Linked DNA regions of Stegostoma tigrinum. The main gene of each other region encodes a partner of the protein of the gene in region 2 in a complex. Links are inferred from orthologs where the notes say so. Each region holds a gene or a part of one and is shown on either strand. Other genes may lie near its edges. The genes, in order: stx18, sybl1, vti1b and bet1l.

What was found.
Region 1: sybl1 (region 2) and stx18 share a complex: the UniProt entries of both Homo sapiens proteins name them as parts of the SNARE complex. The link is inferred for Stegostoma tigrinum from reciprocal best matches to the Homo sapiens genes VAMP7 and STX18.
Region 3: sybl1 (region 2) and vti1b share a complex: the UniProt entries of both Homo sapiens proteins name them as parts of the SNARE complex. The link is inferred for Stegostoma tigrinum from reciprocal best matches to the Homo sapiens genes VAMP7 and VTI1B.
Region 4: sybl1 (region 2) and bet1l share a complex: the UniProt entries of both Homo sapiens proteins name them as parts of the SNARE complex. The link is inferred for Stegostoma tigrinum from reciprocal best matches to the Homo sapiens genes VAMP7 and BET1L.

The regions. Positions count from the first base shown.
Region 1 is NC_081354.1:17,153,059-17,160,513, reverse strand, and holds the start of stx18 (syntaxin-18), read left to right. Parts: upstream 1-4,440; 5' UTR 4,441-4,493; coding exon 4,494-4,646; intron 4,647-7,455. UniProt on the Homo sapiens protein: Syntaxin that may be involved in targeting and fusion of Golgi-derived retrograde transport vesicles with the ER.
Region 2 is NC_081368.1:48,299,386-48,306,553, reverse strand, and holds the start of sybl1 (vesicle-associated membrane protein 7), read left to right. Parts: upstream 1-4,135; 5' UTR 4,136-4,246; intron 4,247-5,325; 5' UTR 5,326-5,332; coding exon 5,333-5,478; intron 5,479-7,168. Other genes in the region: polr1d (DNA-directed RNA polymerases I and III subunit RPAC2), read right to left, coding at 3,899-3,940. UniProt on the Homo sapiens protein: Involved in the targeting and/or fusion of transport vesicles to their target membrane during transport of proteins from the early endosome to the lysosome. Required for heterotypic fusion of late endosomes with lysosomes and homotypic lysosomal fusion.
Region 3 is NC_081363.1:69,072,986-69,080,758, reverse strand, and holds the start of vti1b (vesicle transport through interaction with t-SNAREs homolog 1B), read left to right. Parts: upstream 1-4,767; 5' UTR 4,768-4,869; coding exon 4,870-4,966; intron 4,967-7,773. Other genes in the region: rdh12 (retinol dehydrogenase 12), read right to left, coding at 4,443-4,516. UniProt on the Homo sapiens protein: V-SNARE that mediates vesicle transport pathways through interactions with t-SNAREs on the target membrane. These interactions are proposed to mediate aspects of the specificity of vesicle trafficking and to promote fusion of the lipid bilayers.
Region 4 is NC_081370.1:34,967,611-34,975,454, reverse strand, and holds the start of bet1l (BET1-like protein), read right to left. Parts: upstream 3,029-7,844; 5' UTR 2,938-3,028; coding exon 2,919-2,937; intron 1-2,918. Other genes in the region: ric8a (synembryn-A), read left to right, coding at 5,793-5,876. UniProt on the Homo sapiens protein: Vesicle SNARE required for targeting and fusion of retrograde transport vesicles with the Golgi complex. Required for the integrity of the Golgi complex.

The DNA.
Region 1 (7,455 bases), on a different chromosome or scaffold from region 2:
TCCTGTGGTTACCCCATCACAAACAAGTATGTTCTTTTTGAAAACGTAGGGGACAATAGACTCTCAGGGGAACATAGCACTAGCAGACAGGTTTCTGGTACCAAGACTGGCTCGAACATATCAAGGGATATACCGGGTTCCAAGTAATTGTTTGTGATAGGGTACTCACTAGTCAGAGGCATAGCCAGACAACAATGGAGACAACACTGTGGCCGATAGCGAGATGCCTCCCTGGAGCCAGGATCAAAGATGTGTCAGAGAGGCAGAATATTCTCAACAGAGAGAGGGGCCAGTGTGATGTTGTTGAACACCTTGGAATTAACTACATAGATACAGAAAAGGATGAAATTCTGTGGACAGAATATAGGAAGTTAGGCAGGAATATAAAAAGTAGGTCCTCAAGGGTAGTAAGGCAGATGAACTCTGGCTATGATTAGAAACATGGGACTGGGATATCATAGCAAATATGGAGACGTGGCTCAGGGGTGGATAGGACTGACAGTTTAATGCTCCAGATGCTATAGGAAGAATTGAAAGGGAGGTCTCGGCTTCTCACCCTCACTTTCCTAGCCGTTGTTATATCAAGTCTATGAATAAAGATTGGCATGCACGTCACAGCACGAGTCAACTGCTTACTTTGGTTCTCTGTGGCAGTTGCCAACTTCTCCAAGGAGAAGTAATGCGCTAATGTGCCTGACATATGGCAGACATCAAGGCTTTCCATAGTCTGTGCAAAACAGCTCAGAACCCCTAGCATCTTGATCATATGTTGTTTAAACTGCTGCATTTTTGGCAGGCTTCTTTTGACCACTACCAAAGAGCCTGCTTTCAGCATGGGACTCTGCAGGGGGCTATGCCAGGACAGCCCTCAGTGTCAACAACCTTGGTGGTGACAGCCTCTAATAGTTGCTGGGATATGCATTCATTAGAAACTGACCCCAAATCTGAACACAACACATTCATGATCTTGGAGGGTGTACCTCCGCTGCGGAGGGTGAAAGGCAGGCAGGTAACAGTGCATCCTGTAGTGTGGTTGTCCTCGGAGGTGGTGTCTTCACTCTTCTTAAGTGGCTGAGGCCTATGTTCTGGCATGCAGGAACCTGTATAAAGAGAACAAAAACAAACCCTTTAAAACAGAGATTCTGAGCACTACACAATGCACTGTGGTCCCGAGCACCCTTTATGGCTACAGCAGGTCAAGTTCATTCTCCCTCTGAACCCCAGCCACTCCAGCCTTGCCATCAACAACAGATTGGCCTTCTATTCTCTGCAGGACTGCTTTCGCAGCAAAGGCAAGGACCATAAGATTTGGCATACTTCTGCCCATCTTTCTCCTTGCTGTCTGATTATGAATCTGCTTGTCCTTCACAAGAAAGTGAAGAATTAACAAACTGACAAATGCTACCAAGGCCCTACCAGATAATGGTAGCTTATATCAAACTGCTTACTCAAGCTAACCGGAACTAATCTGTCATGCAGTCCGAAGGCAGATCACACATTCATTCTCAACACCTAGTTGCCCACCAAACAAACACATAGCCAAGACAAACAATGTTGCATAACTGAGACACTTATCCAGGTGGATGGGTGGAGATCACTGACCATTTTGTGACACAGCACCTGTGGTCTCTGGCAGGCCTAACCTCTGCAATCTCTCTCTAGGTCTTATCAGGCGTGTAGGTCAGACTACTGTTGCCATTGCTCAAAGTACATCATCCACTATTCCAAATTGGTCTGGATAGGATTTGCAGGATGCATTGGGATGTCTCTGTTCTGACTGGGTGTAAAGGGTTAAATCTAACTGTGATATTTCTGAGAAGACAGTGTACACCATAGGAATTTATGCAATGTTTTAAGAACAAAGTGTCTCCTCCAGCCTCCTGCCAAGATGGAACCATGGTTCGGTCTTTCTTAAATAGAATTGATGTTTTCCTTACTTCAACATGCTCTTGAGGTATTCCTTATCAGCATCTCAAGGCCCAAAACACCAAAAGGGGATAAAGGATGGGGGCAGAGTGGGGGAAGAGAAGAGGTGCACAAAAAAAATGCCAATTTTTGACAAAAAGGAGTAGGAAAAGTGGGCCCTTGATACAGTGTCTCCTTGCATGTCCAGGTGGCTCTGCCACAGTCCTGCTGGACCTGAACCATCATCAGACGAGGTTAGCTTCGAGAGGAAATTTGTCCCCATCCACACAATTGCACATATTTCACATGCCTGCCACTCGTCCTTTAAATATTGATAAGAATCGAGAGAATACCAGCTCCAGGAAAACAGAAATGGGTTAACAAAGTGTAGCGCTGGATGAACACAGCAGGCCAACCAGCATGTTAAGAGCACAAAAGCTGGGAAGGAAAAGAGATGCGGACCGAAGATGGATAGAGAGGGTAGGTGGAAAGGAGTGTGTTTGGGGGTGGGGGGAAAGGTAGGTAGGGAAGGGATAAGTCAGTCTGGGGAGGACGGACAGGTCAAGGGGGCCAGGTGGGGTTAGTAGGTAGGAAATGAAGGTGCGGATTGAAGTGGGAGGAGGGGATAGGTGAGGGAAAGAACAGGTTAGGGAGGCTGGGATGAGCTGGGCTGGTTTTGGGATGCAGTGGGGGGGGGGGGGGGGAAGAGGGGAGATTTTGAAGCTGGTGAAATCCACATTGATACCATTGGGATGCAGGGTTTCCAAGCGAAATATGAGTTGTTGTTCCTGCAACCACGGGTGGCATCATTTTGGCACCGCTGGAGGCCCAGGATGGACATGTCGTCTGAGGAATGGGAGGGGGAGTTGAAATGGTTCACAACTGGGAGATGCAGTTGTTTGTTGCAAACCGAGCGGAGGTGTTCTGCAAAGCAGTCCCCAAGTCTCCGCTTGGTTTCCCCAATGTAGAGGAGGCCACACTGTGTACAGCGGATACAGTATACCACAGTGGTGGATGTGCAGGTGAACAAATGCTTGATGTGGAAAGTCATCTTGGGGCCTGGATGGGGATGAGGGAGGAGGTGTGGGGGCAGGTGTAGCACTTCCTGCGGTTGGCAGTCCCTCCTCCGCACCTACACCCCACCTCTTCCTTCAATACATTGCTGACTGTATCGGCGCCACCTCATGCTCCCAAGAGGAGCTCGAACAGTTCATCCACTTCACCAACACCTTCCACCCCAACCTCAAGTTCACCAGGACCATCTCCAACACATCCCTCACCTTCCTGGACCTGTGTCTCCATCTCAGACTACCACCTACAAACCGATGTCCCCTTCAAGCCCACCAACTTCCACAGCTACCTGGTATACAGCTTCTCCCACCCACCTTTCTGCTAAAATTCCATCCTCTATTCCTTCGCCGCCTCCACATCTGTTCGCAGGATGAGGCATTCCACTCCTGCACATCCCAGATGTCCTCATTCTTCAAGGACAGCAACTCCCACCCCCTTGACCTGTCCGTCCTCCCCGGACTGACCTATCCCCTCCCTCCCCCCCCCCCCATACTCTCCTCTCCACCTATCTTCTCCTCTATCTATCCTTGGTCCGCCTCCCCCTCTCTCCCTATTTATTTCAGAATCCTCTCCCCCTTCCCCCATGAAGGGTCTGGGCCCAAAACGTCAGCTTTTGTGCTCCTAAGATGCTGCTTGGCTTGCTGTGTTCATCCAGCTCCACACTTTGTTATCTCGGATCTACCAGCATCTGCAGTTCCCATTATCTCTAAACATAAACGGGTGCCCACTTCTGCTTTCATCGCCTGGCACCACAAATCGCTGATTAAATGTCACGCTGTTGAGCCCGGAGCGCACGAAACTAACTGAATAATTCTGAGGAACGGCACCTCAGGCTTCCGTTTGGAATAAATTAACTTAAATTCTGGATTCCATTCGGCCTGGAAGCTTGAAATGTGCAAAAGCGTTTCCAACATTGATTGTCAGCCCCCGGGTGAATTGTAATCAGTCACAACATCCTCCGACTCACTATTTACAAGAGACGCACGGTGGGGCGAGGGTCACTAACAGGAAATACTGAGCAAGCTTTTCCAGAGGTGGAATGCAGTACAGGTGATGGTGAGGAGTTAGTCCTGGTCTGAGCGGTTTCCATAAAAGCTGTGATGAAGCCCAGAGGGAAGGGAGTACAATGCTGGAGCTGGAAAAACAGAGCAGGCCAGGCAGCATCAGAGGAGCAGGAAAGCTGGCGTTTCGGGTCGGAACCCTTCTGCAGTGTTATCTCAGACTCCAGCATCTGCAGCTCTTACTATCTCAGAGGGAAGGGAAGTAGCTTTCACGTGGTTTGGTCTCCAAGGCGAACCCGGGCTCATCCAGTAACGACCCGTGGGCGAACCGCCCTGGGAAACCACGAAACCCTCATCGGAATTATTCACCCTCCGCGTTCCCGCCACCTGCTTCACCCGTTCTCCGACGCCGACCGGGTCGCCGCAAGATGACGCCGCCACCGTCGCCCGTGCCCGGGGTGAGGGGCGGCGTCGCGCCGTGATGATCTCTCCAGCGGTGACGTGTCTTCGGTCAGAATGGCGGCCGACATCACGCTCTTGTTCCGAGCGAGTGTGAAAACCGTCAAAACTCGGAACAAGGCGATCGGTGTCAGTGGCGAACCGGTCAGGGAGGAGATCCTGAGGAAGGGGAGGACGAGGGCCGAGTTCACCGCCCGGGCCAGAGAAGTGGTGAGTGCCAGAGAGAATTGAAGCAATGCAGGGGGAGTACGGAGGCTTGCCATTGAACGTTGGGAAGAACAAAAACAGAAGTTGCTGGAAAATCTCAGCAGGTCTGGCAGCATCTGTGAAGAAGAAATCAGAGTTAATGTTTCGGGTCCGGTTACCCTTCCTCAGAACTGTCAACTTAAACAGAGGCCACCGAGCCCTACACCTCTTCAACCCACTGCCTTTATCCGCAACAGATGCGGCAGAGACTGTCTTGCCAGAGTGTCTCACGCTGGAAAGAGTTGTATTTCTGTGGCACCGTTTACTTCTAGCGAACACCACACCCCTCCCCCCACCCGCCGAAAGCGTTTTACAGCCAATGGTACATTTCTGAAATGTAGTCGTTGTTGTGCTGTAGGCAACACAGCGGCCAGCCAGTGTGTGCACAGCAATGTGGTATACGCACAGTAGCTCACTGTCCAGCACGAAAATGATTTGCTTCCCCGTGGTCACCTCTCTGAGAATCACCAGCTATGTGGTTCAGGTGAGCTACTCTGGCATGACAGTCTCTGCCGCATCTGTTGCGGATGAGGGCAGTGGTAGGACTCGGTGGCCTCTGTTTAAGTTGGCCGTTCTATCAGCCAGCCGATCTCTTTGTCTCTGTTAGTTTCATTCAAACAGTCAATCTCCAGAGTCAGGGTTGTTTCTGTATGCCCTTGGAACAGGTGTGGATGGCCCAGGAAGTCATGGTGCTATATAGATAGTTCAGTTTACAGATGATCATTTTCTGTTGAATGTGGCCAGGTCAGCACAGACATTATGTTCCAGACCTCTAAGTTTGTGTCCTTATCCTGCCAAGAGATGCTGACGTTATGTTTGCGACAGTGAAGGTGAAAATTGTTCCACAGATAATTTGCTGGTTACTATGGAGTCTACATATGTAAGACTGTAAACAAACTCCAGTGTCACATTATCAATGCTGATAGATGGCATATGGCGACATTCTAAAAATGATCCTGATACTATTGGCCATACCACCAATTTACAATGTGAGAGAATCTGTCAGAATTCCACTCAAGGTGTTGCTCAGTATGGAATGTTAGTGTAGTATTGTCAGCCTAGAGCAGCTGTGATGAGAGCTTGATGCTTTTTGTCTTAGATCTTAGGTGGGCAAGAATGAGTAGGTTCTGTCAGTTCTAGTATGTAAGTAGGTACTGTGAACGGGTCACCAGCTGGGATATGGCATTAGCAAAAAGGTGTATATGCCAAAAGGTGTTGGTGTCACACTACAGATTTCAAAGAATACCAATCTGACCCTAGCTGACTTTGCTCAGTATTTTGTTAAGGAAATAAGATCTCATTGAGCAGCTTCGGCAGGTGACCAAAGCATAAAAGTTGAACACAGATACCAATAAATTCTTCCCTGCTTCTTCTGAATGGACCTTTTAAATTTCAAATCTAATGATGATCTTGCTTTTTGAGCACCTCTTTGCAACCATAACTTAGAATTCCTTACTGTGTTCAATCATCCTATGATCTTTGTATGTTATGATTTGCGTGTACTGCACCCAAAACAAAATTTTTCACTGTACTTAGGTACATGTGACAATAATATATTCAATTAAATCAGGCAGCACAAATGGCCTGTCTCATCTCACGTGATTGAATGCCTTGGTGAAGTGAAAGTCCTTGATATATTGTTGCCATTGCTTGCGTCATTTCTCTTGCAGCTGCTGGACAGAGAAGGTCTTGTCAATTTTATATCATCCAGTTCGACCCAAATCGTCAAGCTTTCCTGCTCCTCTGATGCTGCTTGGCCTGCTGTGTTCATCCAGCTTCATACCATGTTATTTCAAAAAGATGCATTCAACCAAGATCTGGAGTCTGAGGAAGGCAATGCTAGAAGATTTTTTTTAGCGTGCCACTCAGCAGGAAGATGCTTTTATGGCTTTGCAATTGTTGCAGTTACCCTTGTTCTTATACAGGGTATTAGTCTTAGAATCATGCATATCCTGGGCACTGCCACTTCCTTCCAGCAGATGCTGCAGGAGTGCTGGATTTTTGTGCTTAATTGTATTTAGGTCATGTAGCATAAGCATCTCCAGCTTTAGTCACAGCAAGAAATAGTGTAACTGAGCTGTGGATTCAATATCTGGCTCTGCCATGACAGCAGGCTTTCATGTTGTCTAGACCGTCCTCAGTAACAGTCTGTACAGTTTATTTCACAGTAGCGTTTCAAGTATCTCTCCAAATGTATATTTTGTTCTTGATTACTGCCCCTGTCTTTGCTAACAATGGAGCTGTTTTCTTTGCTGCTTTTTGCCTGCTTCAAATGTGCCTCTGACATTCCCATATCAAAGGACATCTGTCCCTGCTGAAGCCTGCAGTCAGTGTGTTTGTCTAACAGTCTGTTGGACTTTTATTTCGATCAGGTCTTAGTGTAACAGCATATGTTCACTCAGATTTCTGTTGTAGTTGGTGAAACGAAAGGAGCCAGATCACCGCTGTTTTTATGTTGTTTGTCGAGAGATATTTATTGGCTTTGATAGCAGGGATAGCTCCACTGCTTTTTGACCTAGTACCGTTTGTGACCATCTGAGAGAGCAGAGAGAGACTCATTTCAATGTCCAAACTGAAAGACAGCACCTCTGACAATATAGCACTCCTTCAATACTGAACTGGAGTATCAGCCTTGATTTTTGTCTTGAAGACCTAGAGTGGGACTTGAACCTTAAACCTCTGCTTTGAGTGACAGTCCGCCAGCTGAACCACAACTCTTACATTTATATGTTATCGTGAAATCCAGAAGCTGTTCGCAATGAGTGTTGAGGGG
Region 2 (7,168 bases):
GCCTGGCTCTCCTGCACATTAGTGGGGTCCTTGCTGGGCCCTGGTGCCTTCCTCTTCTCCGGGGGGGCTGGCCCCGCATTGCCCCTGCCGGCGACCTGGGCGTAAGTGGTCCCCTGCTGCAGGCATGCCCTATAGAGGTGGCCCGCTTCCCCGCAAAGGTTGCAGGTTTGCAAGGTGTCCCTCCTCCCTGCAGATGGTGGCTTTGCAGTCGGCCGCCACGTGACCTGACCTACCACAGGCATGGCAGACTTTAGGTTGCCCTGCATAGGTCAGGTAGCCCTTGCTCCCGCCGATCGCGAAGCTGGACAGTGGGTGTACGACGTTCCCGTCCGCGCCCATCCTCAGCGTCACCTTGACCTGCCTCTTACTGGTCCAGATGCCAAAAGCGGTCCATGATGTCAGTTAGGTCCCCTTCCACCTTCACGTATCTTCCAAGGAAGGTCAGGACATCAGCTGCTGGCACACGCGGGTTGTACATGTGTACAGTCACCATACGACCCCCTGCGCTGGCACCACAAACAGCGGGACAGCGGTCAATACAGAGAGGGGGCCCTCACCTCCTTTCTCCTTGAAAACCTCCAGGAAGCGCTCGCAAAGCTTGGCACTCCTGAAGGTCACATTGTAAAAACCTCCTCCGGGGAAATCCTGCAGGCAGTAAATGTCCGCAGCAGCGAACCCACAACAGTCCAACAGGACCCTCTTCATGAAGAAGGTGCGGTCCACAGGTGCACCTTCATCCACCTTCTTTACAGAAACACAAATGGTGTTCCGGACCCCCTGACCTGGGGCACGAGCACTTGCCGCAGCCATCGTTGCAGGTTGGCTGCTCCCCTAAACCAGTGTTAGGCCGAAGCCAGCATTAAGATCAACCGGTCGCAAGGGTGCACAGCCATCCCGACGTCCTTCTTTCACCTCCAACACAGCACTCTCCTCCTCTCGGTCCACAAGAGAGTGGGTCTTTATTTTGTTCCAGATGTAAGCTGGTTCACTGATCTTGAAGGTTTGTTCCCAGATGTTTCGTCACCATTCTAGGTAACATCATCAGTGAGCCTTCGACGAAGCGCTGGTGTTATGTCCCGCTTTCTATTTATCTGTTTAGGTTTCCTTGGGTTGGTGATGTCATTTCCTGTTCTTTTTCTCAGAGGGTTGTAGATGGGCTCCAAATCAATGTGTTTGTTGATGGAGTTCCGGTTGGAATGCCATGCTTCTAGGAATTCTCGTGCGTGTCTCTGTTTGGCTTGTCCTAGGATGGATGTGTTATCCCAATCAAAGTGGTGTCCTCCCTCATCTGTATGGAAGGATACTAGTGATAGTGGGTCATGTCTTTTTGTGGCTCGTTGATGTTCACGTATCCTGGTGGCTAGCTTTCTGCCTGTTTGTCCAATGTAGCAAGACTATGGCAAACACTACATTGGACAAACAGGCAGAAAGCTAGCCACCAGGATACGTGAACATCAATTAGCCACAAAAAGACATGACCCACTATCACTAGTATCCTTCCATACAGATGAGGAAGGACACCACTTTGATTGGGATAACACATCCATCCTAGGACAAGCCAAACAGAGACACGCACGAGAATTCCTAGAAGCATGGCATTCCAACGGGAACTCCATCAACAAACACATTGATTTGGAGCCCATCTACCACCCTCTGAGAAAAAGAACAGGAAATGACATCACCAACCCAAGGAAACCTAACCAGATAAATAGAAAGCGGGACATAACACCAGCGCTTCGTCGAAGGCTCACTGATGATGTTACCTCGAATGGTGACAAAACGTCTGAAAACTAACCTTCCAGCTCAGCGAGCAAACTCACATCCAGAACAAGTTACAATCTCAGCAGCAGATGAGCTGAGGTAGGAGCTGAATCGAGCAGTGCTGCAGAGTTGGAAGGAGACGATCTTCGTGTGGAAGTGAATATGCAGTCAGCTAATGTGCAATCATATTCAACAGTCTTAAACAGTGGCCACAAAGATGAACAGGGTCAATAGCTTGGGAGATGAGATTGTTTGAAAGTTTAAATCTTCATCTCTGCTTACCTCTATCCAACCTGCTGTTTAGTTTAGATTTGAAGAATTCTACCCCATCCTACCAAAACAGTGATGGCCAGACTTACTGACTGATCAAGTGTCAGGAGCTTTCTATGTGACTGATTACATTAAAATGATGAAAGTTATAAGATCATCATCTCGAGGTTGGATCTTCAATTCATGATTAATTGAAAAGTGGTTATGTGACCTGTTCTGAATTGCTCTTGATAGCAAGCATGGATTGTTTGTTTGTTAGAGCAAAGAGGATCCAATTTGCTAAACTGAGAAGGTCCAGACCAATCTACCCAGCAGAAATGAATCTGTCAATTACCTTATTGGTTGGGCAGGCCACTTCTTGTAAAGTCCTATCTGCACATTGCAAATACGCTCTATCCTGCTACATGGCACTACCATTCTACTAAATGGGGCAGAATGGGATAGCAACTCAAAACTAAGCACCTTTGAGGCATAGTGGGCCATCAGCAACTGAATTAAATTCAGCTACAATCTGTAACTTCATGGCCTTGCATAACTCTGCTGTACAATTACTATCAAGCAGAGAGCCTGATTCAATGAAGAGTGCAAGAGGGCATGGCAGGAGCTACACCAGACATATCTCAAAGTATGCAGAAACTACAACACAAGACTACTGCATATCAAATGGCAGAGGCAGCAAATGATATAAAGAGAGCTAAACGATCCTACACTCAATGAATCAAACCTAAGCTGAGCAGTTTTTCAACAACTAGTCAGTAACAGTAGTGGACAACTGAACAAGTGGAGCAATAGGCTCCAAAAACAACTCTTTCCTCAATGAAAGGCAGCCTAGCATATCTATGCAAAAAAGCAAAGATGAAACATTTGCAACCCTCTTCAGCCAGAAGTGCTGAGTACATACCTTATACATCAACATCATTTATATCAGTCTTCAGCCAATTCAGTTCACTCTGTATGATTTCAAAAAACAGCTGACAGCACTGGATACCACAAAGACTATGAACCCTGATGATAGTGCATTGATGGTATTAATTTTGCACCCTTCTTAAAATAGAAAAACAATACTGCTTTGTGGAAGCTGAGAAGAAATACATCTTCTTCCCTGACTTGTACAAAGTCTGAAGGTTTGAGCAAATATTCATGCCTACCCACTTTATTGATCTCTGCAGAAACATTGTCCAACCATACAGTGTTATATTTCATCTTTTGGATAGTCTCTCAGCAAACGTGGGCATATACCCAAAGTTAATCTATCAAACTGTTGGAATCTTGTCTGAAACTAGTAATGCTCTTTCCAAAAATCTTGGGTGACTACATCGTATTTGAGGAGTATATTACTGCCTTCAAGATTGTTTGTTTTTGAACCATTCAAGGTCTAAGGTGGCCTGGAAATGGCTGAGCATGTTAGAGAGGTCGGCATAGCATTGGATTTCAACGGTCTTCTATGCCCACTACTTATTCTTGTTGACAGACATGCTCAGAACTTCATATGTGAGTCATAAGTATTTTTTTCCTGTGATATAAAGTAATTGCTTTGAAGACAGCAAATAATAGTCTGTCTACAGACTCCATATTCTCAGACCTTATCGTTCTTTCCAAACGCCTTCTGAAAATTCAGATCACTTGCATCTATGATTTTATCAATTTTCTCTAGTACCGCCTCCAAAACAAAAACAAAAACAAACAAGGTTAGTCAAGTTAATAAAATGTGAGGCTGGATGAACACAGCAGGCCAAGATGCTGCTTGGCCTGCTGTGTTCATCCAGCCTCACATTTTATTATCTTGGAATCTCCAGCATCTGCAGTTCCCATTATCTCTGATACTAAGGTTAGTCAAGTGCTGGACACTACGAGAGAACGTACTCACCACTTCCAGGACAGGTTTCTGCATCCCTTCAGCTGTTGCCATCCTCACGCTGTCGCTCTGGGGTCCACTTCGACACTGGATGTCGACGCCGGTATTAAACGTCGTTCTCCATGGATGCCGGGAATTGTAGTCTTCGAAGGATAAACGCGCCTGTAAATGTCCGTTACTTTCACGGCTTGAACGACATTTCCCATAATTCGCGTAAGGCTGATGGTTGCGTGCGTTTTGTGAGGAGGCTGGCCGTGTCGACCTGTGCGTGCGCGTGGCAAAGGTATCACCTGACCGGAAGTGTGTGGAAAGGGTGAAGCTTGAGGATAAGGCCCCGGAGTGGAGGAAGCTCAGGGAAGGGTATGGGACAGTTTTTGTTTAATTGTTGCTGTCATTAGGACGTTAGTCGAGCTCGCCCAGAGTTTGTGGATGCTGTTTGTTTTTATGGTGAAGACATGTAACGTCGTAGTGTGGAGCTTTCAGTTTGGGGAATGTTTACCTAGGGAAAGGGCTCAGGTGTCACTGGTGTTTTGATGAGCTGCAGGTGGAGAACTTCAGCTGTGGGCTGTGTTGGGTCGCATCGCTTCTTCCGTTTGTTGTAAGACCCGTACTTGAGTATCTAACGTTTACTGCGAAGCGTGAACGGTTGTTGGTGAAGGAAGCTCGAAAGCGAAATTAGTTGGAGGATCAGTTTGAGACGTCTTGCAAAGACTATTTAGAGCTCTAGGCCACAGTTGGTCACCACGCTATTGGAAGGGTGTACTTGCAGAAATGATCCACTGGGATTGAACATTTTGGCCACAAAGACAGAGTCGCTAAACTCAGGTTATTTACTTCTCAGCAGAGAAGGTTGAGGTGTATAAGACTGAGGAGAAAGGACTTGTTCTCCTTGGTGGCTGGGTTAACAAGGAGGTGTAATCTTTAAGGTAAAAAGTAGGAAGTTTAGAAGGGATTTAGAGAAAAGCTTTTTTGACTGTATGGTGGTGGGGATCTGGAATACACTGTCTGGGATGGCAGTTGAGGTGGGGAAATCTCAACTTTTGAAAATGTACTTGGATGAACACCTTGAAGTGTTGTAATATTTAAGTCTATGGGTCTAGTGTAGATGGTAATAGTGTAGTTTTGGCAGTAAAGAGTTAATGGACCAAAGGGCCTCTTCTGTACTACATGATTCTATGAAGTAAGGTGAACATTCATTTCAATCCTATTTCCAGGCTAGCATTAAAATTGATTCTAAGCAAAGCACTATGACTTTAAAACTTTCTTGTCTGGCTGGCTTGTTCCTTAATCTGTAACTGTGATCCTGCTTTTCTCATTATGATGTCTTGTACTTTTCAGTATGGAGTAAATAGTGTGTTCATAGTGGGAGTATTTATCTTGTTGTAATCTAGTGATTTGAAAGTTGTGATGTACATTTGTATTTTGTATCACCTTTTCAGAGGAGCCATGGCTATCTTGTTTGCAGTAGTTGCAAGAGGCACTACCATCCTGGCAAAGAATGCCTGGTGTGGAGGGAATTTTTTGGAAGTGACTGAACAGATACTATCAAAAATACCATCAGAAAATAATAAACTGACTTATTCTCATGGAAAGTAAGTCCCGAGATCTTTGAGCTGAGAATTTTGTAACTGCTGCTTTCACATGCTGAGAAGTTTTGTTTTGGCATATTTTGAGTTAAAAGCAGAAGCGTCATTTCTCTATGAGTGATATCATGCATGTATGGAAAAGTTGTTCTGGTAATGAACCATTCTTTCTTACATTTATTGGACATTCTGTAGAATAAACATTCACAAGGAAGTTCCTGTAATCTAACACCATTGTGATCCTAGACTAGGGTCCTTCCCCCACCCCCTCTTCCCCCTGCACCTTCCCTGTTATTTTATGGTTAATGAGATTGATCATGTTTTTGTGTCTATACTCTTTGGAAAATAGAGTTTAATGGAATGACTTACTGCCACACAGCCAACAATATGCTGAAATTTGAATACTTGCCCATTTTTGGCAAGATCACCAGATTAATGGGATGACAGGATTGTCATGAAAGATTGAGGAAACTTGGTTTGTGTTCTCTAGAACTTTGGAAATGCAAGAAGTGACCCTTTTGAAACCTATACAAGTCATAAAATGTGACAATGTAGATATAAATAGGGCACCTCCTCTGTGACCTTAGACCCAGGGACAGATCTCCGGCTAAGGAGCACAGCATTTTAAGACTGTGATAAGGAGGAAAATCTTCAAATGAAAGGCATGAGTCTTTTTAGAATTCTCTACTGTAGAGGATTGTGGAAGCTCAATCATAGTGCAGGTTGAACTCAAAATATGTCACTTAAGGGACATTGTGATAGTGGGAAAAGAACTGGCACTGAGATGATTGATCACCTAGGATGGTGAAATAGCTCTGTGCTGAATGGCTCACCCCTTTTCCTGGGTCAAACTAGTTGGGTTACTTATGGATGGAGAGTAAACTTGTTTTAACTCTGTATTTTAACAGTTTCTGTAAAAGAGAGACTTGTCATTGTAGTGCTAATAGGATTTTTCCATTTCTAATTTCAGCTTATCTATGGCTGCCATGTTGCTGCTGACTTTAACTGCATTTATATAATGAACCCAAATTTAATTTTGCATAGGCATTTGCTTGGAGAGATGTCCATCCACATCATCAGAGCTAAATTTTAACTCGTTTAATGTATTCAAAGTTCAAGTTTTTAAACTATAAAAGGCATCAAGGGGTATGAGAGAAGGTGGGCATCTCCAGAGATTAAAGGATCAGCTATGATGTTAAAAAGCAGAGCAGACTTGAAGGGCCAAATGACTGCCAGCTCCTGATTTGTACTTAAATCAGATGGAAGAATACAGAGACAATGCATTGACAATGGCACTGCTAAACCACATTTTAAGCCTGTAAATTTTGCTTTAAAATGCCTTGAATGCCCTATGCCTTGGTGAGATAAAATGTTAATTGTTAATGTGCAATTGCTAATCTGTAACACTGTTTGGATTCAGTAAGTGGAATCTAGATAGGTTTGAGCAAGACTGCTTGTATTGTATGTTGATTTTGTTTGAGAGTTTTGCCTTTTGTAGGTGTAGTGTTACGTAATCTGTTTATGTCACAACTTTGTACCCTACTCCTTCCAAGCTTACAACTGGAATGTAACTAAGGTCACAGTTGTCTTGTTTAGAAAATTATCTGCTTTATTTTCGCTTTGCCTGTACCTTGCATCACCTGATCAATTCTTTTCAAATACAGATCTCATTAACCACATCCACTTAGCACAAACTTCA
Region 3 (7,773 bases), on a different chromosome or scaffold from region 2:
TCGTGGGAGCGTCAGCCAGATTCGAGTCAGCTGAGATACTGTCACCAGATATACAAGATGGAGGCTCACAGGAATTGCTGGCATCTGGTTTCTTGTGGCAAGGAGTAGAATTCCTATTATTGGGGTGAGAATGCATCACAATGAGGCAAGAGTCATTGTCAATAAGACTTATTGAGCATTAATCCCTCTTACTATTCATCTTGCTGCTCCCAAGCAATAATCTCAAAACTGTCTGAAAATTGGCTTGTCTCACTTCTCATGCTATTTTCCAGATTTCTCACCATGGCCAATGTTATTCAGATCTCCGTAAGACTCCCCCCCGCTCGTTCTCTTGCAGCTTGTTCAGTACTTAATTACAGAAAACTGAACATTAGGAGTTCCCAAGCTACATAATAAATAGTGCTGCATTAATAGTTTCCCCCAGTACAAAACCAAGGCTGTGTGGGAATAACACCTATTCTGCCGAACAGAGCGTGGTTAATGGTTAAATGGTTCACGTGGAAATGTGAAATAAAAACCATTTGTAAGATCTGGCTTTGCTGAACAAGATTAGTTTTGCTAATTAGTTTAAAGATCCCGACTGAAAGTAGTTAGGTTCAGGGAGAAGAATTTAGATCGGGTAACACCATTCACAAAGCTAAAGCTTCAAGTGGGGGAACCCCGCCCACGGCCGACGGAACCCCGCCCACGGCCGACGACCTCATCGCTCCGCCCACAACCTCCACAGCCTGCAACCCCAGAGGAGACAGCCACACTGAGCCCTGCCGCATCTTCACCATCCCCCCAGACCTCCCACTGACTGAGGACGAACGGTCAGTCCTTAGCAAGGGGCTCACCTTTGTCCCCCTACAACCACACATCAACGAATACCAGTCACGGTCGGACATAGAGCAGTTTTTCCGCCGTCTTCGCCTCCTTGCCTACTTCTTCAACCGGGAACCCAACCCTCCTTCCACTGACCCCTTCACCCGCTTCCAACACAAGTCCTCCTCCTGGACACCACCCCCCGGCCTCCTACCCTCCCTCGACCTCTTCATCTCCAACTGTCGTCGAGACATTAACCGCCTCAACCTCTCCGCCCCTCTCACCCACTCCAACCTCTCCCCCGCAGAACGGGCAGCCCTCCGCTCCCACCCCAACCTCACCATCAAACCCGCAGACAAGGGTGGCGCAGTGGTAGTATGGCGCACTGACCTCTACATCGCCGAGGCCAGACGCCAACTCTCCGACACCACCTCCTACCGCCTCCTCGATCATGACCCCACACCCGAGCACCAAACCATCATCTCCAACACCATTCACGACCTCATCACCTCAGGGGACCTCCCACCCACAGCCTCCAACCTCATTGTTCCCCAACCCCGCACGGCCCGTTTCTATCTCCTTCCCAAAATCCACAAACCTGCCTGCCCTGGTCGACCCATCGTCTCAGCCTGCTCCTGCCCCACCGAACTCATCTCCACCTATCTGGACTCCATTTTCTCCCCTTTGGTCCAGGAACTCCCCACCTACGTCCGTGACACCACCCACGCCCTCCACCTCCTCCAGGACTTCCAATTCCCTGGCCCCCAACACCTCATATTCACCATGGACGTCCAGTCCCTGTACACCTGCATTCCGCATGCAGATGGCCTCAAGGCCCTCCGCTTCTTCCTGTCCCGCAGGCCCGACCAGGCCCCCTCCACCGACACTCTCATCCGCCTAACTGAACTCGTCCTCACACTCAACAACTTCTCTTTTGACTCCTCCCACTTCCTACAGACTAAGGGGGTGGCCATGGGCACCCGCATGGGGCCCAGCTATGCCTGCCTCTTTGTAGGTTACGTGGAACAGTCCCTCTTCCGCACCTACACAGGCCCCAAACCCCACCTCTTCCTCCGGTACATTGATGACTGTATCGGCGCCGCCTCTTGCTCCCCAGAGGAGCTCGAACAGTTCATCCACTTCACCAACACCTTCCACCCCAACCTTCAGTTCACCTGGGCCATCTCCAGCACATCCCTCACCTTCCTGGACCTCTCAGTCTCCATCTCAGGCAACCAGCTTGTAACTGATGTCCATTTCAAGCCCACCGACTCCCACAGCTACCTAGAATACACCTCCTCCCACCCACCCTCCTGCAAAAATTCCATCCCCTACTCCCAATTCCTCCGCCTCCGCCCCCACGATAAGACATTCCACTCCCGCACATCCCAGATGTCCAAGTTCTTTAAGGACCGCAACTTTCCCCCCACGGTGATCGAGAACGCCCTTGACCGCGTCTCCCGCATTTCCCGCGACACATCCCTCACAGCCCGCCCCCGCCACAACCGCCCCAAGAGGAACCCCCTCGTTCTCACACACCACCCTACCAACCTCCGGATACAACGCATTATCCTCCGACACTTCCGCCATTTACAATCCGACCCCACCACCCAAGACATTTTTCCATCCCCTCCCCTGTCTGCTTTCCGGAGAGACCACTCTCTCCGTGACTCCCTTGTTCGCTCCACACTGCCCTCCAACCCCACCACACCCGGCACCTTCCCCTGCAACCGCAGGAAATGCTACACTTGTCCCCACACCTCCTCCCTCACCCCCATCCCAGGCCCCAAGATGACATTCCACATTAAGCAGAGGTTCACCTGCACATCTGCCAATGTGGTATACTGCATCCACTGTACCCGGTGCGGCTTCCTCTACATTGGGGAAACCAAGCGGAGGCTTGGGGACCGCTTTGCAGAACACCTCCGCTCAGTTCGCAACAAACAACTGCACCTCCCAGTCGCAAACCATTTCCACTCCCCCTCCCATTCTCTTGATGACATGTCCATCATGGGACTCCTGCACTGCCACAATGATGCCACCCGAAGGTTGCAGGAACAGCAACTCATATTCCGCCTGGGAACCCTGCAGCCATATGGTATCAATGTGGACTTCACCAGTTTCAAAATCTCCCCTTCCCCTACTGCATCCCTAAACCAGCCCAGTTCATCCCCTCCCCCCACTGCACCACACAACCAGCCCAGCTCTTCCCCCCCACCCACTGCATCCCAAAACCAGTCCAGCCTGTCTCTGCCTCCCTAACCGGTTCTTCCTCTCACCCATCCCTTCCTCCCACCCCAAGCTACCTACTAACCTCATCCCACCTCCTTGACCTGTCCATCTTCCCTGGACTGACCTATCCCCTCCCTACCTCCCCACCTACACTCTCTCCACCTATCTTCTTTACTCTCCATCTTCGGTCCGCCTCCCCCTCTCTCCCTATTTATTCCAGTTCCCTCCCCCCATCCCCCGCTCTGATGAAGGGTCTAGGCCCGAAACGTCAGCTTTTGTGCTCCTGAGATGCTGCTTGGCCTGCTGTGTTCATCCAGCCTCACATTTTATTAGCTTCAAGTGAAACACCTTTGATCCAATAAGGAACTAATCCTGAAAAGCAGTGACTGAAAAATCAGCCGAAACAGCAAGTAGCCAAAGTGAGAGGTATCTGAAATCCCAGTTCATCCCCTCCCCCCACTGCACCACACAACCAGCCCAGCTCTTCCCCCCCACCCACTGCATCCCAAAACCAGTCCAACCTGTCTCTGCCTCCCTAACCGGTTCTTCCTCTCACCCATCCCTTCCTCCCACCCCAAGCCGCACCCCCCGCTACCTACTAACCTCATCCCACCTCCTTGACCTGTCCGTCTTCCCTGGACTGACCTATCCCCTCCCTACCTCCCCACCTACACCCTCTCCACCTATCTTCTTTACTCTCCATCTTCGTTCCGCCTCCCCCTCTCTCCCTATTTATTCCAGTTCCCTCCCCCCATCCCCCTCTCTGATGAAGGGTCTAGGCCCGAAACGTCAGCTTTTGTGCTCCTGAGATGCTGCTTGGCCTGCTGTGTTCATCCAGCCTCACATTTTATTATCCCAAACTCATGATCTGATTATAAGTCCATGCCTTCTGCGTGCAGTACGTTGCAAATGTTGTACAATTACAGGGCAGTGGTTTCTGCGAACAAAAGATTGATTATGTAAATGACCACTTTGAAGGGTTTTATTTTTACAAGCAAAGTTTTATTCGGGTACAGAGAGAATGGGCTGATTTACTTAACCGCAGCAAATGTTCAGCCAAGAAAACAAAAGATGGTTAAAATACACCGGCAAGATGTACTTTCCTGCACAATCAATTCGAACGATTCCTCAAGGTACTTTGAAAATAATCTACAAAAGCCCAATTATTTTGCTTCTTATTCAAATAAACAGATTTCGTAAAACTGTATTCTGTATTGCGTGTTAGTTTAACGAATACAACTGAACTCCCAATTTGTTCGTGACAAATTGTAACATTTTTTCAAGGGGCTGGAACCCACATTACTAAGTAAAAGCCTGCTTACAGTTTGTAAAATTACATACAATTTAACTTTATCTTTACAGAGCCAAGAAGGGCTTCGAATTCATCCTTAGGCGAAAATACTGACCTGATATATGGGCCAAATGCTGCCAGAAGAGCAGCAATTGCAGAGATCCCAATGATGGTGAACAAGACCGGCATCTTCTGCAGGAAAGGGCTCGGCCAATCCCCGGGGAACCAGAAGCGGCTGGGACTACAACCCCCAGAATGCACGGGGCCACGCGGTCCGTCTCCGTCTCCTTCCCCCAACCCCCCGGGGCTTAAGAGACTCGGTTATTGCCCCTTTAGCGGGGAGATGACGATCTGAAAATGGTGGCTGAAGCAGTAAGTAACGATGTTGATAAAACCTCAGGATTTTGTGGTCGGGGATGGGGGATGTTGTTGTGTGTATATTGTCATGTGATTGCGGAAGGAGGCGGGGCTTGAAAAGTCGGACGTTGTGTCGCTGTCGGCTGTTTGTTTTGTACCAGATCGAGATTTAAATCACTTTAAAGATGTCATCCGAGGAGTTTGAGAAGATGCACGAAGCCTTTGGTAGTGTTTTCGAGGAACTGAGGTGTCAATGTGAGCGCCTGCCTAGATATTCAGGAGGTGAGACTGAGAAATGCTGCTTTTTCTTTATGAGGTTTGAGCGTAGGCCATTCAGTCCTTCGAGCCTGCTCTACCATTCAATGATATCATGGCTGATCTGACCCTTCTTACGAGAATTTCCCATTTGCTCCCCTTTAGGGAGACATTCCCTCTCACTGTGTACAGCATGTAATCAGCCCTCACCTCTATATGTTCTGCGTATAGCCCTGGCCTGTACTGGCCCTGCGTAGAGCACCAGTTTGCATGCTGTAAAGTCCAGCAATGAACACCCTTTTGGACTCCAGTTCCAGTTCAAAACTAGCTGTCACTGTAACTTTGTGAAATCATCAACACTGAAAATGATAGCCAAAACAGACGGCCCTTCCTCTCACTGGCATCTTTTCTCTGCTTTGTGATGATACAATGGCTTAAAAGGTTTATTTTGTCCTGTTTTTCTTTTATAAAGGAAGGTTGAGACTTAGGTGCTCAGTGGTCTGCTCAAAGATAATTAAACAGCTTGTGAGGACTTGGGTGTTTTTTTAAAGTTGGAGCAATAGAAGCAGGCTGAATGGGTCGGGTTCAACTCTCTCAGAACCAGGATTTTTAGTTTTAGCTTTCTGCAGTTGCTTGGGTCTTGTTGTTAGAATTGCATGTGAGACGATCTATTTGACTGAGTTTACCTTTCTCAACAGTATTTATGGGATGTTACTATATTTGGACAGTTAATTAGTAGTTAATACGTACTTTATTATTTAAGGCATTTTTATAGAGTTACAGTTAAGCCAATTCTTTCCTTTTCTTTTTATTTTGTCTGGACTTTAACTGTAGTGTAAAAATAAAGCATGTTTTCCTGAAAGTTGAATAGTTTGACCAATCGCATTGCATCTGGAACACAATGCCTTACACTTGCCTTTTTAAAATAAGAAAAAGTTGGGGTAGGCTATCTTATCAATATATTTTAAAGGGGTTTGGTCTGGCCGATAACACCTACAAACCATCTCTGACTTTATTATTTATAACCCCGAGATGGGTGAGATACTAAATGAGTATTTTGCAACAATGTTTACTGTGGAGAAGGATATGGAAGATAGAGAACTACGGGAAATAAATAGTGATATCTTGGAAAAGGGCTCATGTTACTGATGAGGTGGTGCTGGATGTCTTAAAATGGATAAATTCCCAGGATCTGATCAGGTAGGCTAGGGAGGTGATTGCTGGGCCCCTTGCTGAGATATTTGTATCATTGATAGCCACAGGTGAGGTGCCAAAAGACTGAAGATTGGTTAATGTGGTGCCAGTATTTAAGAAAGGTGGGAAGGAAAAGCCAGCGAACTGTAAACTGGTGAGCCTGACATCGATGGTGGGCACGCTGTTGGAGGGAATCCTGAGGGACAGGATTTACTAATATTTGGAAAGGCAAGGACTGATTAGGGATAGTCAACATGGCTTTGTGCGTGGGGAATCATGTTTCACAGACTTGATTGAGTTTTTTGAAGAAGTGACAAAGAGGAATGGTGTATATGGTCTATATGGGTTTCAGTGAGGTGTTTGACAAGATTCTGCATAGTAGACTGGTTAGCAAGGTTAGATTACGTACAGGGTGAACTAACCATGTGGATACAGACTGTCTCCTACCTTTGAGTCAGAAAGTGGTGCTGGAGGGTTGCTTTTCAGACTGGAGGCCTATAACCAGTGGTGTGCTGCTTTTCATTATTTTTATAAATAATCTGGATGTGATGCCACCAAATTCGTGTTTAGTGGACAGCCAAGAAGATTATTTCAGAGTACAACGGAATCTCAAACAGATGAGCTGAGATGTGGCAGATAGAATTTAATTGAGATAAATGTGAGGTACTCCTTTTAGTAAGACAAACCAGGGCAGGACTTACACACCTTAACAGTAAGGTCCTGGGGAGTGTTGCCGAAGAAAGAGACCTTGGAGTGCAGGTTCATTGTTCCTTAAAAATAGAGTTGGAGGTAGACAGGATAGTGAAGAAGGCATTTGGTACACTTGTCTTTATTGGTTAGTGTACTGAGTATAAAAGTTGGGAAGTCATGTGTTGGCTGTACAGGATATTTGTTAGACCACTTTTGGAATGCTGTATTCAATTCTGGTCTGAGATAATGAGAACTGCAGATGCTGGAGAATTCAGGATAACAAAGTGTGGGGCTGGACGAACACAGCAGGCCAAGCAGCATCTTAGGAGCACGAGCTGACGTTTCGGGCCTAGACCCTTCATCAGAGAGGAGGAACGGGGAGAAGATTCTGAAATAAATAGGGAGATGGGGGAGTCGGACTGAAGATGGATAGAGGAGAAGATAGGTACAAAGAAGAGTAAGGGTGAGGAGGTAGGGAGGGGATAGGTCAGTCAGGGGAGGATGGACAGGTCAAGGGGGCGGGATGAGGTTAGTAGGTAGGAAATGGAGGTATGGCTTGAGGTGGGAGGAGGGGATAGGTGAGAGGAAGAACAGGTTAAGGAGACAGGGACGAGCGGGGCTGGTTTTGGGATGCAGTGGGGGCAAGGCAGATTTTGAAGCTGGTGAAATCCACATTGATACCTTTGGGTGACGGGGTCCCCAGCGGGATACGGTTGCTGTTCCTGCAACCTACGGGTGGCATCGTTGTGGTGCTGCAGGAGGCCCAGGATGGACATGTCATCTGCGGAATGGGAGGGGGAGTTGAACTGGTTCGCGTCTGGGAGGTGCAGTTGTTTACTGCAAACTGAGCGTAGGTGTTCTGCAAAGCAGTCCCCAAGCGTCCGCTTGGTTTCCCCAATGTAGAGGAAGCCACACCGGGTACAATGGATGCAGTATACCACATTGGCAGA
Region 4 (7,844 bases), on a different chromosome or scaffold from region 2:
AGTCAAAATCTTGAAACTTCTTCTGTAACAGCACTTTTGGTGTACTTCACCCCAAGGACAATAACAGTTCAAGAAAGCTGCTCACGACTACCTCTTTTGGACAATTCAAGATGGGCAATAAAGGGTTAGGAAGGAGGCTTCAAGTAATTAAAAAAAACATAAAAATAGGAACAGTATGCTATTTGGCCCTTTGAGTCTGTTCTACCATTCATTATGATCATGGCTGCTCATAGAACTCATTTCCTGATCCTACTTTCTCCCCATGCCCTTTGATCTCTTTTGCCCTAAGAACTACATTTAGCTCCTCCTTGAAATCATTCAATCTTTTGGTTCAACTGTTTTCTGTGGCAGAGAATTTCACAGACTAGCCACTCTCTGGGTGATTGCAGCAAGACATACCAACTTCTGAATTGAATCGCCTCACAATGATGACCAACATACCATTTGCCTTCTTCACTGTCTGCTGCACCTGTGTGCTTCCTTTCAGCAATTAGAATACAAAAAACACCCAGGTCTAGTTGCACCTCCCCCATTCCTAATCTACCATCATTAAGATATTAATCTGCCTTCCTGTTTTTGCTACCAAAATGGATAACTTCACATTTCTCCATAGTATATTTCATCTACAAAACATTTGCCCATTTACTCAACTTGTCCAAATCACACTGAAGCATCTCTGCATCATCCTCTTAGTTCACTCTCCCATCCAACTTGTTGTGTCACTTGCAAATTTGGAAATATATTTAGTTCCCTCACCTAAATCATTAATATATATTGTGAACACAGAAAAGCAGCATTGAGGTACATTAGAAGAGGCAGTACAAAAACAAAGTAGAAAATATGTCAAAAAAAATTATTAGGAAAACAATGAGAAACTGTGCAATTAGAGGAGCAGCAAACCAAGCAAATTACAGCTATATCATTTAAAAAATAGTTTTATGAGAAAAGGACCATAAGGGATAGGTAGGAGATAATATAAAGACAATGGTAACAGTTAACGATAGAGGGATGGCAGAAATTTTAAATAACTATTTTGATTCAGTATTTGATCAGTCAGATGCAAACAGGTAGACATAATACTTAATTGTGAGAAGGGTGATGACAAATTAACTTTATTCAAAAGAGAATAAAGTCCCTGGTGTTAATGTGTCTAGAATTACTTGTCACATATAATCATTTGTTAGGAAAAGGTACAGTGCCAGAGTACTGGCAAATAGCTCATGCGACTCCTACATTTAAAAAGAAGCCAAGACATTTTCAGGACATTACTGACCAATCAGATGAACACCAGTGGTTGGAAAATAATGTAATTCTTACAGAAGGACAGAATAGTAGGATATTTACAAGAAATATGCTAATGAACAGTCAGCATGAATTTTAAAAGAGAAAGTCTTGTTAACTTAACCTTATGAAGTCTGCAAGGCAATGGAGAGGAGGCAATAGTAATACAGATGTAATTATCTTGATTTTCAAAAGGTCTTTTACAATAGATTAATAAAGTCAGAGAACAGAATCCAGAGACAAGTGGTAGAATGAATTCTAAGCTGTCTGCAAGACATAAAAGCAAAGAATGGGAGTAAAGGAGTGACAGAAGATGGGAAGTTGTGTTTCACAAGGAACATTCCTGGGGTCACTACTCATCATAACGTACATTAATGACTGTGGAATCAAAGTATCAATTTCTAACTTCACATGTGATAACCCAATTCATGTGGAGGGAGGGTAGTCAATTGTGAAGTGTACTGCAACAAATTACAGTATAGACAAATATTGGGTAAATGAAGTTCAACAAATAAAAGTTAGATGCCATGTTTTGCTAGGAAGAATGGGGTGATCAATTTTTAATTAGAAGAGCTTAATTTACATGGTAGATGAACAAAACAATCAACACACAACTACATTAAACACTACATATTGTGGAACAGACATAAACAGATATTGCTGGAGAAAATCAGAGGGTCTGGCAGCATCTGTGGACAGAAAACAGACTTAACATCAAGTCCAGTGACCCTACTTCAGAACTAAATAACATGCCACAGCCAAGCAAGATGACAAAAATATAAACCAAACACCTCATTTTACTTGCAGAAAAATTGAATTTAAAAAGTAGGACTGTTTAAACTACCCTAAACCTGTATCAAACTTAGATCTTGAGAGCAGGCCATCTTAGGCTCATCAATCTTGCTCTCCATCTTGGTTAGATAGTTCTGCACGCAGTCTGGTCACCTCAGTAAAACAGAAATGTTCTAAAGACACAGGCAAATGTGTAAACAAGATTTACATAGATGCTAGCATGAGCAAAGTATTGATAGGCTGAAACTCCTCTGTTTCCTGAAAAGACCTAATTACACACCTTTAAAATTATGACAGCTTTTGTCAGAACAGACACAGAGAAATTGTTTCCTCTTAAGACGATCACCAAGAATCACAAAGGGAAACTCAGAATAAGGTTCTCAACACAGAATACAGAATATATAGCTGAAGCAAATTACGTGGATTCATTTAATGCGAAGATGGACAGGTGGACGAAGAAGTGTTTTAGAGGGCTCCACTGGTTGGATTGAGGAGGCTCAAATGGAGCATGAGCACTGACAGTATATCCTAGGTAATTAATGACACAACTGTCAACTAACCAGTAATTTATAAACGTTTAATATGATTAACTGTTGTGCTCAATGTCTGCATTGATAAATGTAGGGATAATGTCCAAGTTTCACGGCTTCCTGGATCTGTTCAGTTGGTTATTCAGCATCCGCGATTCCTTCTTTCTCCACGTACCGAGCTGAAGGCCTAGAACATCAGCTCAAACCCGCGTTCTTAATATTCACAACATTCAGTAAGTGCCCGATCTCAGTCACCCTCACACCGGCCCACAAGCTGAATTACTCTCCAGCCCTCTGCCTCCCTCTCTCTCTCACCTCGGTTCCGCTCCGCCATTTCTGCGGCCACAGCATCCGGGATTCACGCAGAGGGTGGGACCTCCTGTCCATCAAACCGGCAAAGGCGGGGCTACATGCATTTCAATCCGTGAGAAGTGAGGCCTCCTGTCCATCAACCCGGAGAGGTGGGGCCACCTGTCCATCAACGAGAGAGGTGGGATTACCTACGCAACGTAATGCTGAAGTGCTGGTGGGATGGGCTGGACAAAATCCGAAGTAACGACACCCGGTTCTCGTCCAACTGATTTATTTGAAATCACAAACTTTCGAAGCTCCTTCATAAGGTGAAGTGAGAGAGAAGCACACAAAATTTATAGGCAGACAGATCAAGAGCCGAGAGATCAAAAGATCATACAAATGGTGCGAGTGGAGTTGTCGAATAATAAATCTGCAGCAGATCAAAAGTGTCCTTCTGGTCTGAGTAAAGTGTCAACATCTGAATATCAAGCAAAGCAAATGACCTATAATCTGATTAAATGAGGCAGAGATACAAATACAAGAAACTAAAAATAAGGTGGTACTGGAGACAAATCAAAAGACTGGAATAACATAATAAATATGAGTCACATGCTGAATGCGACTCATGGGAATGGCCAGTTAAACCCTGGAGTTGGTTACATGTCAACTATCCAGGTCTTTTTATGGCTCAATGTACTTAGTCATTGCAGATACCCACTCAAAGTGGTTAGACATCCATAGTGTTCATTTGTCAAACACAGGAGCAGTGAGAGAAAAAACTGTGCATCTTTTGCAATACATGGACTCCAGCAGTTTTGGCCACAGATAATGGGCCAATGTTTACTAGCAGAGAATTTGAATATTTCTTAAAGTTGAATGGGATTCAACATATAAGGAGAGCTCCATACCATCCATCATCTAATTGCCTGGCAGAAAGAGCAGTCCAAATTGTCAAGGCTGGTTTGAAGAAAGAGTATACAGCTTCACCAGAGACCAAACTGTCTTGGTTCCTCTTTGATTAAAGCACCACTCCTCATGCATTTATAAAGATGGTTCCAAACAGTTGCTAATGGGGTGAAGACTCTGCACCAGGTTAAATCTGATCCTCCCGGACTTGGGGTGGGATGCATGTGAAACAGCAACAGAAACGCCAGTGTTGGATGCCACGCTCCACCAAGTGAGAGAGACAGTTTACTTCACGGGACAAATGTTGATGTAGGAACCTTGAAAATGGCCCTGAATGGGTAAGATGTGCCAGCCTCGATGCAAGGCCAGGAGTGGTGACGTATAAAGTTCATGTAGGAATGATGGTCCTGACAAACACGTGGACCATATGAGAGCTGCAATGTCACAAAAGATGTGGGAGCAAAACATGCCCTTCTTCTTGAAACAGTTGAAAAGGCTGTCAAAAACCATGAGTTCTCCCGTTCCAGCAAGTGTTGAGGAGACCTCTTAATCTGAGATTAACACAGCATATCTCACTGCATTGACCACCATCTACAAAGCATAAGGCAGGGGCATGATGGAATTCTCCCAGTTGCTTGGATGGATGCAGCTCCAATTACAATCAAGAAGCTTGACACCATCAAGGACAAAGCAGCCTGCTTGATTGACACCATATCCACAAGCATCCACTCCCTTCATCACTGATGCTCAGTAATAGCAATATGTGCCATCTATAAGGTGCACTGCAGACATGCATCAAAGATCAAAGTTGCTGGAAAAGCTCAGCAGGTTTGGCAGCATCTATGACGGAAAAACAGAGTTAAAATTTCGGGTCCGGTGATCCTTCTGAGGAAGGATCCTGACTTGGAAATATGGTGTCGCTTCTTCACTGTTGCTGGATCAAAATCCTGTATTTCCTTCCCTAAGAGCATTGTGGATTGATGTGTACAGAATACGGGCTGCAGTTAGTTCAAGAAGACCTTCGGCTTCCACCGGCTTCCCAAGGGCAACTAGAGATGGGCAATAAATGCTGGCCAACCAGTAATGCCCATACACCATAAATGAATTTTAAAAATGACAATATGTACACTGTTTGCATCCGCTTTGCAGTTTGCCTTCCACATTTTTGTGTAGTCAGCAAATTTGGCTACAGTACATTTGCTTCCTTCCTCTAAATTATTGATAATATATTGTAAACTTACCCTTGAACAAACTATATGGGAAGGGAGGGGAGCAATTTTAATCAAACATTATATATCTAAAAATAACACGGTGTGAAACTGGATGAACACAGCAGGCCAAGCAGCATCAGAGGAGCAGGAAAGTTCTAAAAGCTGATTAGTTATAATAGTCGTAGGTCTGAGGTGTGTGGGCGTCCCCTGCCTCAGCGGGCGGGGACTGTATTGGTGAGTGGGTCTTCATTTGTGGGCGGTGCCAGCCTCGTGACAGGGGGCGGCCTCTATGGGCGGGGATATTAGGCTCATGGGCGGGACCTTTCACTTCGGACGAGTCCCGTTTCTGTGGATGGGTTTGTGTCCAGCATCCTTTATGGGCGGGCCCTGGCTTAATGGGCGGGGACATGGTCTTTGGGCGGGGTCTCCCTCCGTGTACGCTTTCTGTCTCTGTGGCTTCGATTGGGTCCCGATAGGAGGGCTCTACCTCTGTGGGCGGGCATGAACCGAAGGGCCTGGCCGGTATCCGTAGGGCGGTGTCAAACTAAGTGGGCGGGGCCAGACTACAAATATGGGTGTGGTTAGGGCCCACAGGCGGACGCCCTTTGTGGGCGGGGCATAACCTTCCAGGCCGATCCTCTCTCCCTCAGTGGGCGGGGCCCGTGTCCATGGGAAGAAGCATTCTGCTCTGGGCGGGCTTTTGGGTCTTCGGACACCGTGGGCGGTTCTGTAGAGCTGGAGGTGGCTCTGATGTGCGCTGCGCCGCTCCGGACTGGGGATGGAGCTGAGTCGGCTGATCGAACAGATCGAGAGCGAGGATCAAGATATAGTGCTTGCAGCGCTCCAACTTCATAACACGGAGGTGAGTGTCAACAGAACACCGGGGCCCTGGGACACTCTGATCGAATGTGGTAATGGAGCTGGATTACATCGGGTAACTCTCTGGACCTGAGCGGCACCTGGGCCAAGGGCAAAGGCCAAACCCGCTTTACCCAGTAAACAGCAACAATTGCAGCCTTCCTCCCTCCGGAAAGCAATTGCAGCCTGCCCAGGCCCGGGATTTACCGTTAAACCTAAACCAGCCAATACCAAAGCCGTGTTCCCGACTGTGCCCCGCCCCCATGCACAGGCCCCGCCCCCTCAGTGTTCTCCTCCCCCTCCCAATCGTTTCACTACCCCTTGAGCACCTCTTCCTCCCTCGTCTTCCCAGTGTAGAGTGAGCACCTTAAGTACCCCTGCCATTGCTGCAGGAAATTTGCCTCATCACCACTCACCTCCAGCTGTTCCGGAATTGAGGAGCTTCAGAAGTCCCAGTGGGCCTGAAGCTATGATCCAGTGCTTTGGTTCCAGTTTGATGTGTTTGAGTCCTGTATCTGGCAATCTTTTGAGGTTCATGGGGGCTTGTAAATACAAGTGTCTGTGCAAATCTGGTGAGGATGGTATGGTGGCTCAGCGGTTAGCACTACTGCCTCACAGCACCAGGGACTGGAATTCGATTCCACTCTCGGGTGACTGTCTGCCTCCAGTTTGTACATTCTCCCTGTGTCTGTGTGGGTTTCCTCCCACAGTCCAAAGATGTGCAGGCTAGATGAGTTAGCCATGGGAAATGCAGGAGTATTGGTTAGGAGGATGAGTTTGGGTGGGATGCTCTTCAGAGGGTTGGTGTGGACTGGATTGGCTAAATGATCTGCTTCCACACTGCCAGGATTCTGTGATTCTAGGTGTGAGTTGGTTGGGTGGCTGGGACTCTGGAAAACCATTAACTTAGGAAGGAACAGAAAAAGATGCTGGAAAAGCTCAGCAGGTCTGGCAGCATCTGTGAAGGAGAAAACAGAGTTAACATTTCGGGCCCGGTGACCCTTCCTCAGTTCCAACCCGAAATGTTAACTCTGTTTTCTCCTTCACAGATGCTGCCAGACCTGCTGAGCTTTACCAGCAACTTTGGTTTTGATCCTGATTTACAGCATTGCAGTTCTTTTGGTTTTTATCTCAGGAAGGAAGTTGGTATCCTAGGCTCTGAGAGTGTTTTAGTGGCTTTGTGATGGGGCTGCCAAGGACTGAGAGCGGGAGTTCTGGGAGTATGTGGTCAGGGTTTTGAGAGAGGTTGTTTGGTAGACTGATTGTCTGGGACCCTGAAGGCCCCATCACGTGGTGAAGAAGCTTAGGGTCTGATCTATGTGCCATGAAGGTTAAAGCTGGGGTTGTGACAAATCTTTGAGTTGGACTGTGTGAGTGGCTTGTGGGTGGAATTGCTGATCTCTGCAATCCAGGTACAGACAGAGTGCCTATGCGAAACCTGCATTCTGGCTTTCTGATTTGTATTTCAAACTTGGAGCAGCTTGCGTAGTTATTCAATGTATGAACTTCAATCAATGGTGACAATTCACTTTCTGTTAAACTTCCAACCAAAAGCAGGATAACAGCTGCAAAGCCAATATGCAAATGCATTTTTCTTTCTTTAGCTTGAATATTGCTGGCAGAAGGGAGGAGTGAGAGAAGTATAGTGATAGAAGAGAGAGTGTAGAGAGATTTTGATGAAGATTGGAATCAGGATGTTGAGGGTTGGGGTGGGTTTGGGATGGAGATTGGATTGTTGAGAGTTATCAATGTAGAGGGGTCACACTAGAGGCTCCGTCCAAGAACACAGTAGTTTAGATAACATCCTAGCAGTTTGTAAAATTGCATCCAACATATTTAGTAATTCTAGGAAAAATAATGACCATTAAAATGTTTTTAGCTTATATAAAAATGGAACTGACACAAATGTCACCTGCCCTAATAGCTCCGGCAGCATGGTATCAATCTTATTTGATAATGCTCTCTTGGACAT